Notamacropus eugenii: one gene and its partner. The protein of the gene in region 2 purifies or fractionates together with the protein of the main gene of each other region. This does not show direct contact. Links are inferred from orthologs where the notes say so. Each region holds a gene or a part of one and is shown on either strand. Other genes may lie near its edges. The genes, in order: COA3 and COX5A.

Evidence for each region.
Region 1: the proteins of COX5A (region 2) and COA3 purify together in Homo sapiens (affinity purification with western blotting; 3 studies listed by BioGRID and IntAct, with this or other methods). This does not show direct contact. The link is inferred for Notamacropus eugenii from reciprocal best matches to the Homo sapiens genes COX5A and COA3.

The regions. Positions count from the first base shown.
Region 1 is NC_092873.1:359,329,510-359,336,213, forward strand, and holds COA3 (cytochrome c oxidase assembly factor 3 homolog, mitochondrial), read right to left. Parts: upstream 2,567-6,704; 5' UTR 2,492-2,566; coding exon 2,170-2,491; intron 1,272-2,169; coding exon 1,168-1,271; 3' UTR 710-1,167; downstream 1-709. Other genes in the region: CNTD1 (cyclin N-terminal domain-containing protein 1), read left to right, coding at 2,689-2,860, 4,204-4,279, 4,525-4,699, 5,312-5,474, 5,746-5,887, 6,535-6,631. UniProt on the Homo sapiens protein: Core component of the MITRAC (mitochondrial translation regulation assembly intermediate of cytochrome c oxidase complex) complex, that regulates cytochrome c oxidase assembly.
Region 2 is NC_092872.1:241,100,301-241,107,969, reverse strand, and holds the start of COX5A (cytochrome c oxidase subunit 5A, mitochondrial), read right to left. Parts: upstream 3,037-7,669; 5' UTR 2,772-3,036; coding exon 2,660-2,771; intron 1-2,659. UniProt on the Homo sapiens protein: Component of the cytochrome c oxidase, the last enzyme in the mitochondrial electron transport chain which drives oxidative phosphorylation.

The DNA of each region.
Region 1 (6,704 bases), on a different chromosome or scaffold from region 2:
TATTACTATTAAAAAAGAGCAGATGGAGAGACTCCTGCAGTGTGGAGTGTGAGCCCTGGGGCTTCCAAGCACCAACCACTAAAACTACACAAAGCTGCTTGTGGACAACTTCCCTCTCCAATCACTCCTCACTCCACCCCCCAAAGCTGAAGGCTGGGCTTGCTGTCAGACTTGTACAAAAGCCAATAAAATTATTGGAAATGAGTCTGTTGCTCTGTCAGCCCTGCAGGGAATAGAGGGTGGGTGGAAGGGCCCAGCCTGGTGGGGGAGGCAGGGGTAGGATTAAAAGATCTCTCACAATGGGGAGCAGAGGTGGAGGACACTCAGCCTCCTGGCATCAAGCCATCAGCAGCTTAATTTCAAGGTCAATGATCAACTCCACCAATCTAACCTCTCCTCCAAACCCCACCCTGGGCTTGCACAGGCAAGCTCTGAAATCATGAGGGCTGGATGACCCCCATTCACCCCTCCTGTAAAGGCTATTGTGAAGGCCCCAGGCAATGGAGGGAAACTGGAGATGAGATATTTGTACATGAAGGATAGTTTAGCCTCACACAGTCCAGTGAGTGCCACGATCCTTACCTGCTAATCCGGTGGAAAGATCGCAGGAAAAGCCATTCTAGTTAAACATTCACATTTCCTTAGGGCAACACAATTGCCATAGCTGGCAGAGCTTTCCACTCCCATCCCCCAAATAGATTCACATGGCTCTAGAACAGATGATTCACTTTATTGTGAATCAGCTCTCAGCTTGACCACCAACATTGCCCTATCAGGTTTCAGCAAAGAGAAGAGATACTAAACTTGCCCCCCAACAATGGCTTTAAATCTCTACAGTAGGAAGAAGCTATGAAGACATGAATAAAATGCTCCCGAAAAAGCTGGGGGTGATCTGGTTGTGCCTCCTCCCTGTTGTGACAAAGGCTCAATTTCTTTTGTTTTGGTGGGGGGGAGAAGGAACAGGTGTTCCCATCAAATTGGCTGGATACACAATTCCCAAAGTAGGGTGGAACTCCATAACAAAACAACATCCCAAGGTCAGGTTGGCCTTATCCCAGTAGGAGTCTTTTCTTGCAGGGGAGGGGAAGTACAGAAGGTGGAGGCATCCATCCTTATTCTGAACAAGTTCCATCCAGGGTGGAGACAGCGTGAGCACCCACTTGGGGTTCAGGGGCTGTTGGCCCCAGCAGATTTCACTCTAGCAGCTTTGGCCTTGTCTTCCAAATCATCTAGGAACCGCTCCTGCGACACTGAGTAGAATGTATACCCATCTGGGGGTCACCGGCTCAGGAAAACCATGAGGAAACTGGAGCACTCTCCTAACTTTCTTTCCTCCAGCTCCCCACCCCTACCTCCAGTGGTCTATGCTTTTCTGCCTCCACACCATCCTGGAATCTCAAACAGCAGCTGCACCCCCACCCCAGACCCGCAGCCCCCACAATGGCTCCCAGCAGCGCCTAATGGATAGCAGGTCAGCCTCAAAGCCAACAAGATATGGGCTCAAGGCTTGTCTCTGTAAGTCACGCCTCTCCCAGGGCTCTCTGTAAGTTGCAAAGAAGGGGCAGACCTGCATTGGTAGAGTTTCACCATCAGGAGTCCCTAGTCGGTGGAAACCAAAAGTCCAGCACCGGAAGCTATGTGTTCCCTGAGTGCAGAATGCTACACCTGGGAGCTGAAGAATCTAAGACCCCTACTTGGCACGGAGGATATAGAGGTGTGGCCTCAGGAAGACCTGGGTCTCCAGGAGACCGGGAATTCCATTCACCGGCAGATACTAGCCGCGTGATCCTGGGCACCCAAAACTGTTTGTCTCAGTTCCCTCATCTGTGAAATGGGGGTAAGAGCGGCACCTCCTTTGTAAAACGTGCTTGGCACACAGTAGGCGCTCTCTAAATGTTAGTTACTGCTATTCTTAAATTAGGTAATACTTGTTAACTCATCATTAGCCACGGCTGTGTTACTGACTAGCGCGGTGACCTTGGGCAAACACCGCCTCTCACTAGGCGTCAGTTTCTTTTCTGACCGAGGCCTAGGATCTCCCGCCACCCCCTCCCCCCATCCCCCCCTCGCCACCCCCGCCGTGCCCCTCTCCCTCCTCCTCTTTTCCCTCCCCCCAGCCTCGTTTCCCCTCCTCCTCCCCCTCCCCTAGCCTCCGTGACCCACAGATACAAATGGCCAACACCAAGGCCCCGATGCTCAGGCCGGTCACGATGTTCCGGCCCCGCCGCTGCGGAAGCGTTTTCTGCCACTGGGAGAGCTCCACCTGCCGCATGAAGTGCAGCTGGGCCGGGCTCAGTTTCTCTCGCGCAGGATCAATGCGCTGCGCTACCGGGGCCTTTCCGGCCTCGGATCCGGCACTAGCATCAGCCATCTCACTCCTCGACCTACTCCAGAGCGGGTCAGAGCCACGGCGCACGCCAGGAAGGAAGGGAACCTCTCGGTCGTCGCCGCCGCCACTAAGGATCCTGGTACTTGTAGTCTGATTGGCCATTCCTTCGGAAGGGGGAGAGAGGCAGAGGAGGGGGCGGGGCGTCCTGGGCGAGCCCTCTGATTGGCCGAAGCTCCCGCGGCACCCTTGAGCTCTGCGTTTCAGACCTAGAAAAACCGTTGGGAGCACGAGGCTGCGCACAGACCGCGAAGTTTCGAGGCGGTGTGGAAGTTTGGCGTCGTCGGGAGGGTCAGCTAACAATGGCTGGGGCTGTAGGGCCAAGGGGGTCGGCCTCCCTCAGCGACTTCAAGTTTGGCGCTGTGGACACACAGACGATCGAAGACGCCCTGCTCCACCTGGCCCAGGAGAACGAGAGGGCAGTGCGGGAAGCCCGGGGGCAGACGGGCAGCTTCAGGGAGACCCGGATCGTGGGTGTGTGGGCCCAGGACTTGGAGGGGATGGGATCTGTCCTGCCCCAGGGACACCCAAAGCGCCCTCCCCCCAGTGTCCTCGCCCACCCTACCCCCACCCCCAGCTTCCCCTGGCAAATCAGAGGAAAGCTGAAGCCATTGCCCTCATCATTCAGGCCCCAAAGCAAACAAGAAGTAACCCTAGAATTTTATTTTGGCTTAAGTTATCTGGACCTAATGTCTGAATTACCAAGGTCAAGTCAAGATGCGTTTATTAAGTGTCTGCCATGTGCCAGGCATTGGGCTAAGCACTGGGGATACAAGCAAACATGAATTAGCTTAGTGTTTCATTTTGTCAGCAGAGTTGTGTGTGGGGTGGGGGCTTTCTGTTCCCCTGCATGGATAGTTTACATAGGTGTGTTTATATGCCACATGGGTCCAGAGGATCGTAGATTCACCAAAAGACATTTAAGTTTCAGTAAAGAGGCGGGGTTTGGCTGCCACATCTGACCATCTGCAGTGCCGCTGATGGTGTTTTATGTAAAACCCAGGGGTCTTGGAAAGTTCCTCTGCTCAGAACTGAGATTTACCCTGGTTCCCACCCTATAATGGAACTGCAAGCCAAACAATTCCAACTGAGACTATCTTTCAAAGGGAAATATTGAAGGAAAACAATTCCAACTGGGACTATTTTTTCAAAGGGAAACATTGGAGGCAGTTAGAGCTGATTCTTCCCACCTTCCTAGTGTTTTCAAAATCTGCCTATTTAACAACCCTGCAACAAAAAACAAAAACAAAAAACTTGGTGGGGAAGAAATCTAGCCACTATAGTCCCATTTAACAGACCAGAGGAATCATGCTCACTTTAAAGTACATGGTGGTGGTAAGATACACATACACATCTTCCAGAGGAAGATTTAACTCCTCTAAGCAGAGAAGTGTCATCAACTTCCAGGACCATATTTTTATGTTTCATATTAAACTTCATAGGAATTAGGATTTTTCATCTATTCAAGAACCTCTCTGAAGTCAGGAACATGAGCATGTAGTTAGAGGGCAGGAAAGGGGGGTAATGTGTTTTGGTACCAGGTAAAAGCTCTTATCTGTTGAACCCTTCTGGAGTAAGTCACCAAGGAGCTTGGTAAGCCCTTGTTCTTGGCACTCAATCAGACTTCCCTTTTTGGCTCTGATCAGATTCTTGGCAGCAAAAGAAATTAGGCTCTGTTTTAGTTATTCTAGTCTCATCTTTCTCACCTCCTGATCCCTCTTTCTTGGGTTGAATCATGGTTTTTTACACAACACCAAGAGTTCAGAATGGTTAGGGTTGCATCTTGTGATTCAGGCTTTTCTTTTTTATTTTGGCAGAATTCGTTTTTCTCCTGTCTGAACAATGGCGCCTGGAAAAATCCGTGAGCTACCAAGCAGTAGAAATCCTAGAAAGGTAAAGTCCCAGGCATAAGGCCTTGGCAAATAAGTAGCTCTCTGATTAACTAATGTGCTTGCTCCTGTTCAAATGGTACCAGTCACCTCTTACCTTGGTCTTGATCTCCTTTACTTGCAAGCGTAACCAAGTCTTAAATTGATATTGGAGAGGCTAAGATGTAGCAGAGTTTGAAGAACAAATGCTCCCTCTGGAATGTGTTGAAGTCCAGATTGTTTACTCCTGACCTCCCCCCACTCCTGTAGGTTCATGGTTAAGCAAGCAGAAAGCATTTGCAGCCAAGCAGCACCTGTGGTGAGAGGGAGTGAGAAAGCAGAGCCCTGGAGCTGGAGGACCCGGAAAGAAGAGCTCTGCAATACATTTGTACTTCGACTTGTGTCATGTGTTCAGCTGGCAAGCAAACTTTCCTTCCATTACAAAGTAAGGAATTGGTCTTGCAATTTCCACCTTCACCATACTGTGCTCTAAAATCTGGCCTTTTGTGGACAGCTTGATATTATGAATAAAAGAGGCTGTCCACAGGGCAGCTCTGAGAGACCTACCCCTCGGCTGGATGATTCTACCCGTTTAGAAACTCCAGAGTGCAATTACATTTCCTAAGCACTCCTACTAAACACACACAGCTGTTACAACCTGCATTCTTGTTCTCAAAGCACAATAGCTGGATTAATGCCATCATTATATAGATATACAGGTCACCTTTCCTCCCCTTTGGACTCAAGGACAGTTTGCATAAGGTGCCTGAATAGTCAACATACTTTAATCATCATTAAAGGTTAGATTTACAAAAGGGAAAATATATATCCCTGGGCACTGGATTTGGAATTGGAAGAGCTGAGTTTAAAATTCCACCTCTTGTTGCTACCTTTGAATTCTGAACTTGTTTCTTCATCTGTAAAATGAGATTTTTCCAGCTCTACATCTATGGTATTATGCTTGTTTCACTCCCCCTCACCCCAATCTTTGTGACAAAAACCCCAATTTATTAAAGAATCTTTTTCTCTGTCCCCTCCCCCTCTTTTCTTTACTCAGATAGTCAGCAATGTTACGGTCCTGAATTTCCTCCAGGCCCTAGGGTACCTTTATACTAAAGAAGAACTACTGGAGTCAGAACTTGCTATTCTGAAGTCTTTAAACTTCCAAATCAATCTACCCACTCCTCTGGCATATGTGGAGATGCTTCTAGAAGTTTTAGGTATCTCATTCAAAAGATATCTCAGTGGAAATGAGGCAAACACAGTAGCCATGAAATGCCAAGTGTATCTTGAGACTCCTCTACCAGAGGCAATGTGCCCCAGGGCTCTGGGCAATCTGATGAAGAGGGAGAGTAATGTCACCTAATGTGACATGACCTTTGAAATGAACTATCCTGATTTATGAGGAATCTGACTATATCTTTCGTCAATTATTTTCTTTGATGGAGAAACAAAGGTAGTGACGTCACCTCTCTCCATGCCCCCATCCAGGGTATAATGGCTGTTTGGTCTCAGCCAAACAGCTGCATGGAACCTGCCTGACATTACTTGACTTGGTCTATCTCCTGCATGAACCCATCTATGAAAGCCTGCTGAGGGCATCAATTGAGAACTTTACACCTGTGGAGCAGAGGTAAGGCACCTCTTATAGACTTACAAATACTGGGAGCAGTGTTCTGACAATGACCTGAGGAGTCGATCAGATCTAGTAGGGCCAACTAGTTTGTCCCCTCACTTTGGTAGAGATAATTGTTGTATTCATTCTCATGAGCTTGTTATTTATGAACTTGCACTTACTGTTCTGATGTAGCAAGTTCAGCCCAACCAAAACCCAAAAGACTTAAAGTCTTAAAATATTTAAATGAATTCAAGTCATTAACATCTCCTATTATCCCTCCTATCATTGATTCTTGATCATAAGTTGTAATGTTTTCAGAAACAAAACAGACAAAACAAGTCAGTCATAAGGCTGCAACTTTGACAAAATTGCCTGATTACTGTAAAGGCAGATGAGAGAAAGCCCCACAATTATGTTGTTAGGATAACAGATGGGAACACAAAAGACTAGTAAATCAAATACACATGAATGAGGCTTGTATATTGTCCTTAAGTTCCGTTTTGTTTTTAGTTGGGAGGAAGCTACCTATGGGATAGTCAGCTGGTTCTACAATTTCTCTCCATACTCAGCATAATCAAATAACATCAAGGATGACCCCAAAACTTAGGCAAACAAGGTTCTCACCTTAGTTATGAAACTGAACTGTGATTTTAATTGCTCAGGGGAAAATTTGTATCAGTGAAAGAAGATTTCATGCTTTTGGCAGTTGGGATCATTGCGGCCAGTGCTTTCATCCAGAATCAGGAGTGGTGGTGCCAGGTATGCACTGCTAAGTGGCATTGTTATCAAGATTCATTTAATAAAAGGCATTCCCCAGTCAATTAAAGGGAAA
Region 2 (7,669 bases):
ATAAATTTTGTGAAAAGTAACTATCAGCAGTACTTGTCCAAAATGAAGGTCTGTAAAACGCTGAATTATACAAAATAAAATCTTATTATGATCATTAGTGTTTATAAAATGCTTTAAAACCCTATAAACACGAACCTAAGAGCTTACTCATTTGGCTAGATCCTCTGAAGGAAGACACAGAATCAGAGAACATTAAGATAGAAAAGGACCTTAAAATCTGGCTGGTTCAATTTTCTTGCCAGATTTAGAAGTTATTTTAATATTCTTAATTTTCAGGGCCTCTTCCCCCAGTTTCTTAACTCCATCATGTAGAATTAAATTGCACATTCCTATTTTAAAAGTAAATTCCATGTAGGAAAATACATTTTTTATAATATTCTCTTTTCACTGAATATTAAATGCAAATGGGTTTTTTTGGGGGGGGGGGCAGATAGGAAGAAGGAGCTTCCCCAAAGAATGGAAAACAAGATGCAATTAAAAAATGCTTTCAACCCAAAAGTCCCCAAACTGAAAAACACAGAACTAAAAAATGGCTAGAGGAATGATGCAATGGTATAAACATACAATTAATTTCCATTATAAAGATGAAGGATTTCCAAACTCTCTTTTCTGACACTAGGATAATCTTTTCCAACTGGTGTTATAAGACATACTTCCAAATTTAAATTTTTTCTAAAAATAAAAATGCTCTCTAGATATATCAACATGGCACTTTGGGTAGGGAATCACAAAACTGGACAAATAAGATACAGAAACTCAAATGATCGAGAATCACTGATCTATACTAATTTACACACCGTTAAGATAAATAGGAGGAATTAAAATTTCCAGAGATTGACAAGCCAAACTTTAGATTCCCCAAAAAGACTAGAGCTTCCCAGGAAGAATGGTGTTACAGATTTCAGTATTTAAATTCACAACCTTAAGTGCTTAATTCCAAATTGTAACATGTTACCATCAGGGATTCTAGGATTAAAGTGCCATTACCATAAAGCCTTCCTAGAACAGATACAAGAGTAACAAGATAATAAAAGGGAATTAGCAGAGTATATTACACCCTAGTCAGATTTCTCAACATAAACTAAAAATGTCCCAGTCACGGCAGAGCATGATCCTGTACACAGCATATTTCTTAGGATCACCCTAAGTGGTCTTTTCTTGGTTCCTCAGACACTTTATCTATTTCTCCAGGCCTTGGGTTACTCGCTGTCCGGTTCTCAGAGTTCCTCTCTTTCTTTTAGCTGCATGAATCCTTTGCTGATCCCAATGCTAGCGCCCTTCCTTTGTGGAGACCTTAAATTTAACCACTTCCTATGTATCTGTATTTGTTCTGCATCTGCTGTATTTAGCACGGCTGTGGGCAACGAGGTGGACCAGTGGATAGAGGACTGGGCTTGAAGTCTGGAAGACCTGGTTCAAATCTAGCCTCGGACGCTTACTAGCTATGTGATCCTGGGTAAATCACTTAACCTGTTTGCCTTAGTCTACTGAAAAAGGAATCAGCAACCACTCCAGTACCTGTGCCACAAAACACCACGGACAGTACGGTCTATGGGGTCAGGACGAATCAAAGGTGACTCAACAAAAACCTACCATATGCAGTGCATGCACACAGCACACTCTCTAGTCTAGGTACCCGTCTTCCTATTAGAATGTAAGCTCCTTGCAAGGAGACTGTGGCATTGTACTTGTATCCCCCGTCCCCATCTCGGAACCTGCGCGCATAATAAAGGCTGACTGCTGAATCCCAGCTCTGCAGCTAGCAGGCACCTCAGAGATCACCCGGCCAAAGGAGATGCTCAGAGAGCACAAAGGGCTTCCTAGCCCGTGATAACAGTCCTGGTTTTGCTGACCCCAGGCCACTGGGTGTTTGCGCACTCCTGCACGCTGCCTTCCTTCTCCCTTAGTATCACGAGCAAAGGACCTGTGCGTACCCGAGGCTTTGTAAGATCGCAGGGGCATTTCCAAGCGCCACCCCGTCGGTCTCCCGCACAATGGGGCTCTCGCTACTACCTTGCACTCCCCGGGGTGCTTCTGAAGTCATTTTGGACCCGCGCCGCTTGGGCTTTGTGTGCCCCTTTCGGCGGTGTGCTAACTCCTGCATCCCCTTCTCAAACGCTTTAAAAACTACAACTCCACCACGGAAAAAAAAGCTACATTTCACTGTCAGAGGTCGGTGAAAACAACTTCATCTCCTCCCAGTTCTCGACCCCGCTGGGACACCCCCCCCCCCCCACCCCGTTCCGGCTGAGGACGGGGCCCCCGGAGGCTTGAACGCCGCAGGGTTCCGTCTTTGGGCCGGGACAGCCAGGCTCCTACGCGCCGCGGACCCTGGCTCCCACGGAGAGCCCCGGGCCCAGGGTCACCGGGGTCAGCCCTAGGTGCTCCTGGAGGCCGGGCGGCGCCAGTGGCCCTTCCGCCCCACCCCACGGGCGCCCGGACGTTCAATGTCACCTTCGCCTAGGGCGCGCCTTAGGGGCCGGGTTGCCAGGCCCGCCCGGGCCCGCGCCCCTGCTCGAGGAGCCCAGCTTCGGGAAAGAGCAGACCGGGGAGCCGGGGCCCTGGAGTCGCCCCCGGGCGAGCCTGGCCGGCGGCGGTCACGCTAGGCCGCGGCTCGGGTCACCGCAAGGACGCCGGGCCGCGCGGGCCGGGTGCTTACCGGCGGTGGCGGGAGAGGCGGAGGACGACCAGGAGGAAGGGGCCGCAGCCCCCGGCTTGGGTAGCAAGACCCGCACCGAGGCAGAGCAGCGGCGGAGAGCGGCGGCCAGCATGGTGACAGCGGGTGAGGGCGACGGGACTGACCGAGTCACGGACTGCCTGCCGACTGCTCAGGACACAGGCTGAGGAGCGCGAGCGGGTGCGCGGCGCATGCGCGTGGGGGAGGCTGGCACCGAGCTCGCCCAAGGGGAACCGACGGGGCGGGCGGGCGGGCGTGGGCGCGAGTCAGCGCCAGCGGCGCGCGTGCGCGCGCGCTCTGGGGGCAAGTGGCTGCGGACGCCACGAGGCCGCCGAGGAGGGGGCAGGGAAGGGGCGGGGCTATGGCGGCGCTGGGAGGACAAACCACATCCCGCTCAGCTGAACCTCGTGACTGGCCGCGGCCATCTTGGAACGAGGGCGGCCAGAGGGCGAGCAGGAGGAGGGAAGGGAAACGAGAGGAAGGCGTATTCCCCAAAGGGAGAGGAAAAGAAGAGGCCGCCAGGCGGCGCCCTCGCTCCGATCGCGGGAGCGAAGGCCTATATCCAGGCCGCTGGGACTCTCGCCAGGTTGGTTCTAGCATCGCACACTCTATGGCAGTTCCTTGATTGGCTCAGTCTACGCTGAGAACCTCCCGGCAGCCCGGAGCGCGCGCACGGGGCCACGCCCCCTGACTTAGCGGCGGCCAACCAGCCTCGCCGCGCCCCCACGTGGTTGAGTCGTGTTACACCCGGCGCTCCAATTAAAGTCCTCATCCCGGGTCTGCCGGGGTTACCCCAGCTAGACAGGCATCAGTGATTTTGGTCAACTCACCTCCCTTCTCTGGGTCTCGGCTTTCTCGTCTGCAAAGTGAGGAAGGCCAAGGGAATTGGACTAGACTTAATACTGTGTGCCAAGCATCGTGTCAGGGGCTTATTAACCTTCTACTGGAAAGAGGCAATTGGCCCAGAGCACGCCAAGTGGAAGGTCACAGGGTGGAGGAGAGGGCTCTGGACCAGTGCTTTACAGGCAGCTGGGGCCTCTAGGTGAGGACCGCGAAGGCTGGGGGTTCTGCCCGGCTGGAAAGGCTCGCAGACTCCAAGTCAGTGGAGGGCTTTCCTACAGAGAGGACATTTCAGTGAAGAATTGCTATAGTAATGTTAATAAATCCCAGGAGAATGTAATGTAAAGTCTTTGAGCCGGGGATATTTTTGCTTCTTTCTTTGTCTTTATATCTTCAGCCGGACCTGGTGGCCGGAATGGTGTAGGCGCTTAATAAATGTTAATTGGATTTATATACCTCTGAAAGCACTTTCTTCATTATTTAATCAATGACATGATCTCCAGGTAGCTTAGCTTCTGTCCTTTGAATTCCATGGAATTGCTCGCCTCCCAAAGATCTCTGGTGACTGCATAATCACCATGTTCAGGGATCTTGTTAGAATCACACTCCATGACCCCCCTACAATATTTGACCCTGCTAACCATCTCCTTCTGCCACAGGGGTTAAAAAACGACAGAATCCCTCATCCCTTTTTTGTCAATACACCACACTCTCCTGCCCTCCTCTGCCTGTCCTGTCTTCTTCCCTGATGTCATGGTCCTCTTTGAAAACGAAGGACAAACACAACCTGTGAGTTGACCAAACTGTCTGAATGGGGACCCAGCTAGCTGGGTAACTCGGTTTGTTCTCTCCCTCTCTTTCTCCTCTCCAAAGGAAGATAAATTTTGATTTCCAGATGCTTCCCAGTTAACTTGGAGTTTACTGGCTAGGTCAGTCTTTCCTTCCTTCGTTCCTTCCTCTCTTCAAAAAACCTTAACCCAGCTCACTCTGAAGCACATAGATTGGACCACAATAGGTCCCTGCCCAAGCTCCACTTAAAGGCTATATTTTGGGCCCTCCTGGCTTACAGTTAATGTCAGTGGTAATTGTTTCTCTTGGGAGCAGCAACCCTGAGAGTCTTCCCTGGTCACTGGATCCAGATGACTGGAGGAGAAAGTGACACTGCTGACCTTGCACAATCCTCACTCAAATCAAAGTCAACTGCAAGTCACCTCATCATTTCCCTGATGTCATGGTCCTTTTTGAAAATGAAGGACAAACACAAAAGTACACATGGGTGTACTTTCTATCCTGGACCCTTCTCTACTCTTTTTTCCTTACCCTTCCTTTGTCAATTTTTCTATGCCTGTGGTCTCCACTGACATGTAGGGTATCTACAGGACTCTGGAAGACAGAAATCTGAAAACCTAAGTTCAAATATGGACACTACCACATATGTGTGTTCTTTGGTCCTCAGTTTTCCAGGAATTGTAACAGCCATTGTACCTACCTCACAGAATTATTCTGAGAATCAAATGAGATATGGTAGGTAAATTGCTTTGTAGCCTTTGGAGAGCTGTTATATAAATGTTGGCCATTATTATCTATACAACTGACTAGCAAATCTACAACTTCCAGACCACTCTCCCAGACCAAGCTCCAGTACTGTTGTTCTCCCGGCCCTTTACCTGCTGGACAGCTCCATCTGCTTTAGCTGTCAGTTACAAACCCAACATGACTAAAACCAGTCAGTACACTTCTCAACCTCAATTAAATATTTATCAAACATCCACTATGTGTAAGATTTGCTGTGTTAGTGATTGAAACCTCAAAGATAGTCCCTAGTCCGATCCTTTGCCTTCAGAGAACTTGCAGTCTAGTAGGGGGAAATGACCAATACACAGATAATTAGAATACAAGCAATAACATATTAATAGAAAAGGTCCAAAGAGAGTGACATGAGAGATTCAGATGGAGAAAAAGCATTTATAATGGGGTGAATCAAGGAAGGCTTCATAAAGGAGGTGTCTGAACTACTTTTTGTTATTGTTGTAGTTCAGATCTATGATTACCTTGGTGTGGTGAAACCCTCAGCCTGAAATTCCTTTCCCTGATGCATTTTAGCAATCTCTTTGTAGTTTATAGTCTTAGAGAGTTGCCTGGGGCACTGAGGCTAAATGACTTGCTAGCCTGTATTATACTTTGGAGGCTGGGAGTGAATGTAGGTCTTTCTGACTTCAAATGAATGATGCTTCAAGTAATATCTAGTACATCAGGCTGAAGGTCCCTTTATTCTGGTAGCAACAGCAGCATTAGTACTAGTACTAGTAAGCAAAGCACTTTACAGCTATTATTATTTCACTTGATTCTCACAACAACCCTGAGAGGTAGATGGGGATAATTATCATTCATTGCATAATTGATCTATTCTTTGGACAGTAATTTTTAGTGCCATATCTTTTGTAACTATGAGATTGTAACAACAAGCACTCTAGCATACCCAGAATGACCTGCTAGCACAGGTTCTTGGATCTACTTTACTAGGAAAGATAGTTATTTAAGGAGTCAACAATCTTTTTAAAATTACATTCATTAGTTCAGGGGAAAAGTCAGCATTCTGAACTTCAGAGAAAATATAAGCAGAGAAATAAAGACCAATAGACAGGGTTCTACAGTGCGAATCAAAGCAATATTGTTATACACTTTACATATATCCCTGGATGGAGAGAACCTTTACATTTGAGTAGTGTGGGGGGGAGGGGGCTCTGGACAGAAGGCTGCTCTGGGACTCAACCAGGGAATCACAAGATCCTTCTCATAAGCAAGTCCCTAAAGCAAAACCTTACCTCAGAGTATTTACACAACTTTCTCAGAGCCAGAAGGCTTTGCAACCCTCCTGACTCAATGCCTAATTAGAAATTAGCAAATGGTGTGAAAGCCTTCCCAAAAGTAAACCTCCCCTAAGCAATCTTCCCTTAATGGGTTCCAAGTGAAGCCTGTTAATGGGTGGGGAAGATCTTAAATTCCATTAACATTACAGAGATTCAAAACGGTAACTACTCTGTACTGGCCTCTGAATGCATTCAGCAGAGAAGAAACAAATTGGAAGACAGATTCATGGGATTTTTTTTTTCTGTGTTGATAATTTGGTGATCCAGCCAACTACATTAATATTATTAGATTGGCAATGTTTTGTTTTGTCTTTGTTTATAAATTCTTAAGATTGTTTTAAGTTAGTGCTGTCTTTATAAGTGTCCTGCATTATCATTTTGGGAAAATATTATATAGAAGTGCTGCTAATATTAAGAATGATACCAAGAATTTGAAGCATTAATAACATTAGGAGGTTAGATCTTTGTCTGGAATGTTGTGATGGATTTATGAATGAAAGCAATCACAAAGTAGAAACATGGCATGACTATTTCCTCTGGTTAATGGTCATCTTAAATATTCAAATGTGTGTTCTCCAGTTTGTCAGAGTTCATTTGGGTTTGGTAAACAAGACTGCAGATACTGGAAAGCTAGAAATGCTAATAGAAAGCATAATTTGAAAACAATAAGATTTACTGGGACTATTTGGAACACACTCAAAATGTGAAATAGACTATCTATGCTGCATTTAAATGATATGGGGTGATTGTTTTTTAGAAGTCTGAAGATATCTGAAAAATACTGTTATAAAGAAGACTTCAGAGAGGCCTGGAAGGACTTATATGACCTGATGCTGAGTGAAAGGAGCAGAACCAGGAGAACTTTATGCACAGCAACAACCACAGTGTGTGAGAGTTTTTTCTGGTAGACTCAGATTTTTGTAATAACACAAGAACTTCTGAAAAAAAAAAAAATCCCAATGGTGGACCTCAAGGCAAAATACCTTCCACACTCAGAGAGAGAAATATGGAAGTCACTCACATAATGTAGCAGATCATGTTTGTGTATGTGTATCTGTGTATCATGTTCTGATTTGTAATACGGATTCTTTCATTTATCTTAGTCTGACTACATAGCATCACTATAGTGAAAATATACTCAATAGGAAAGTATATGTAGAATCTATACAGAATTGTATGCAGTCGTGGGGAGGGAGGGAGGTAGTGGGGGGTGGGTGGGGAGGGATAAAATCGCAATTGTATGGCAGTGATTGTTAAACATTAAAAAAAAATAAAAAAATAA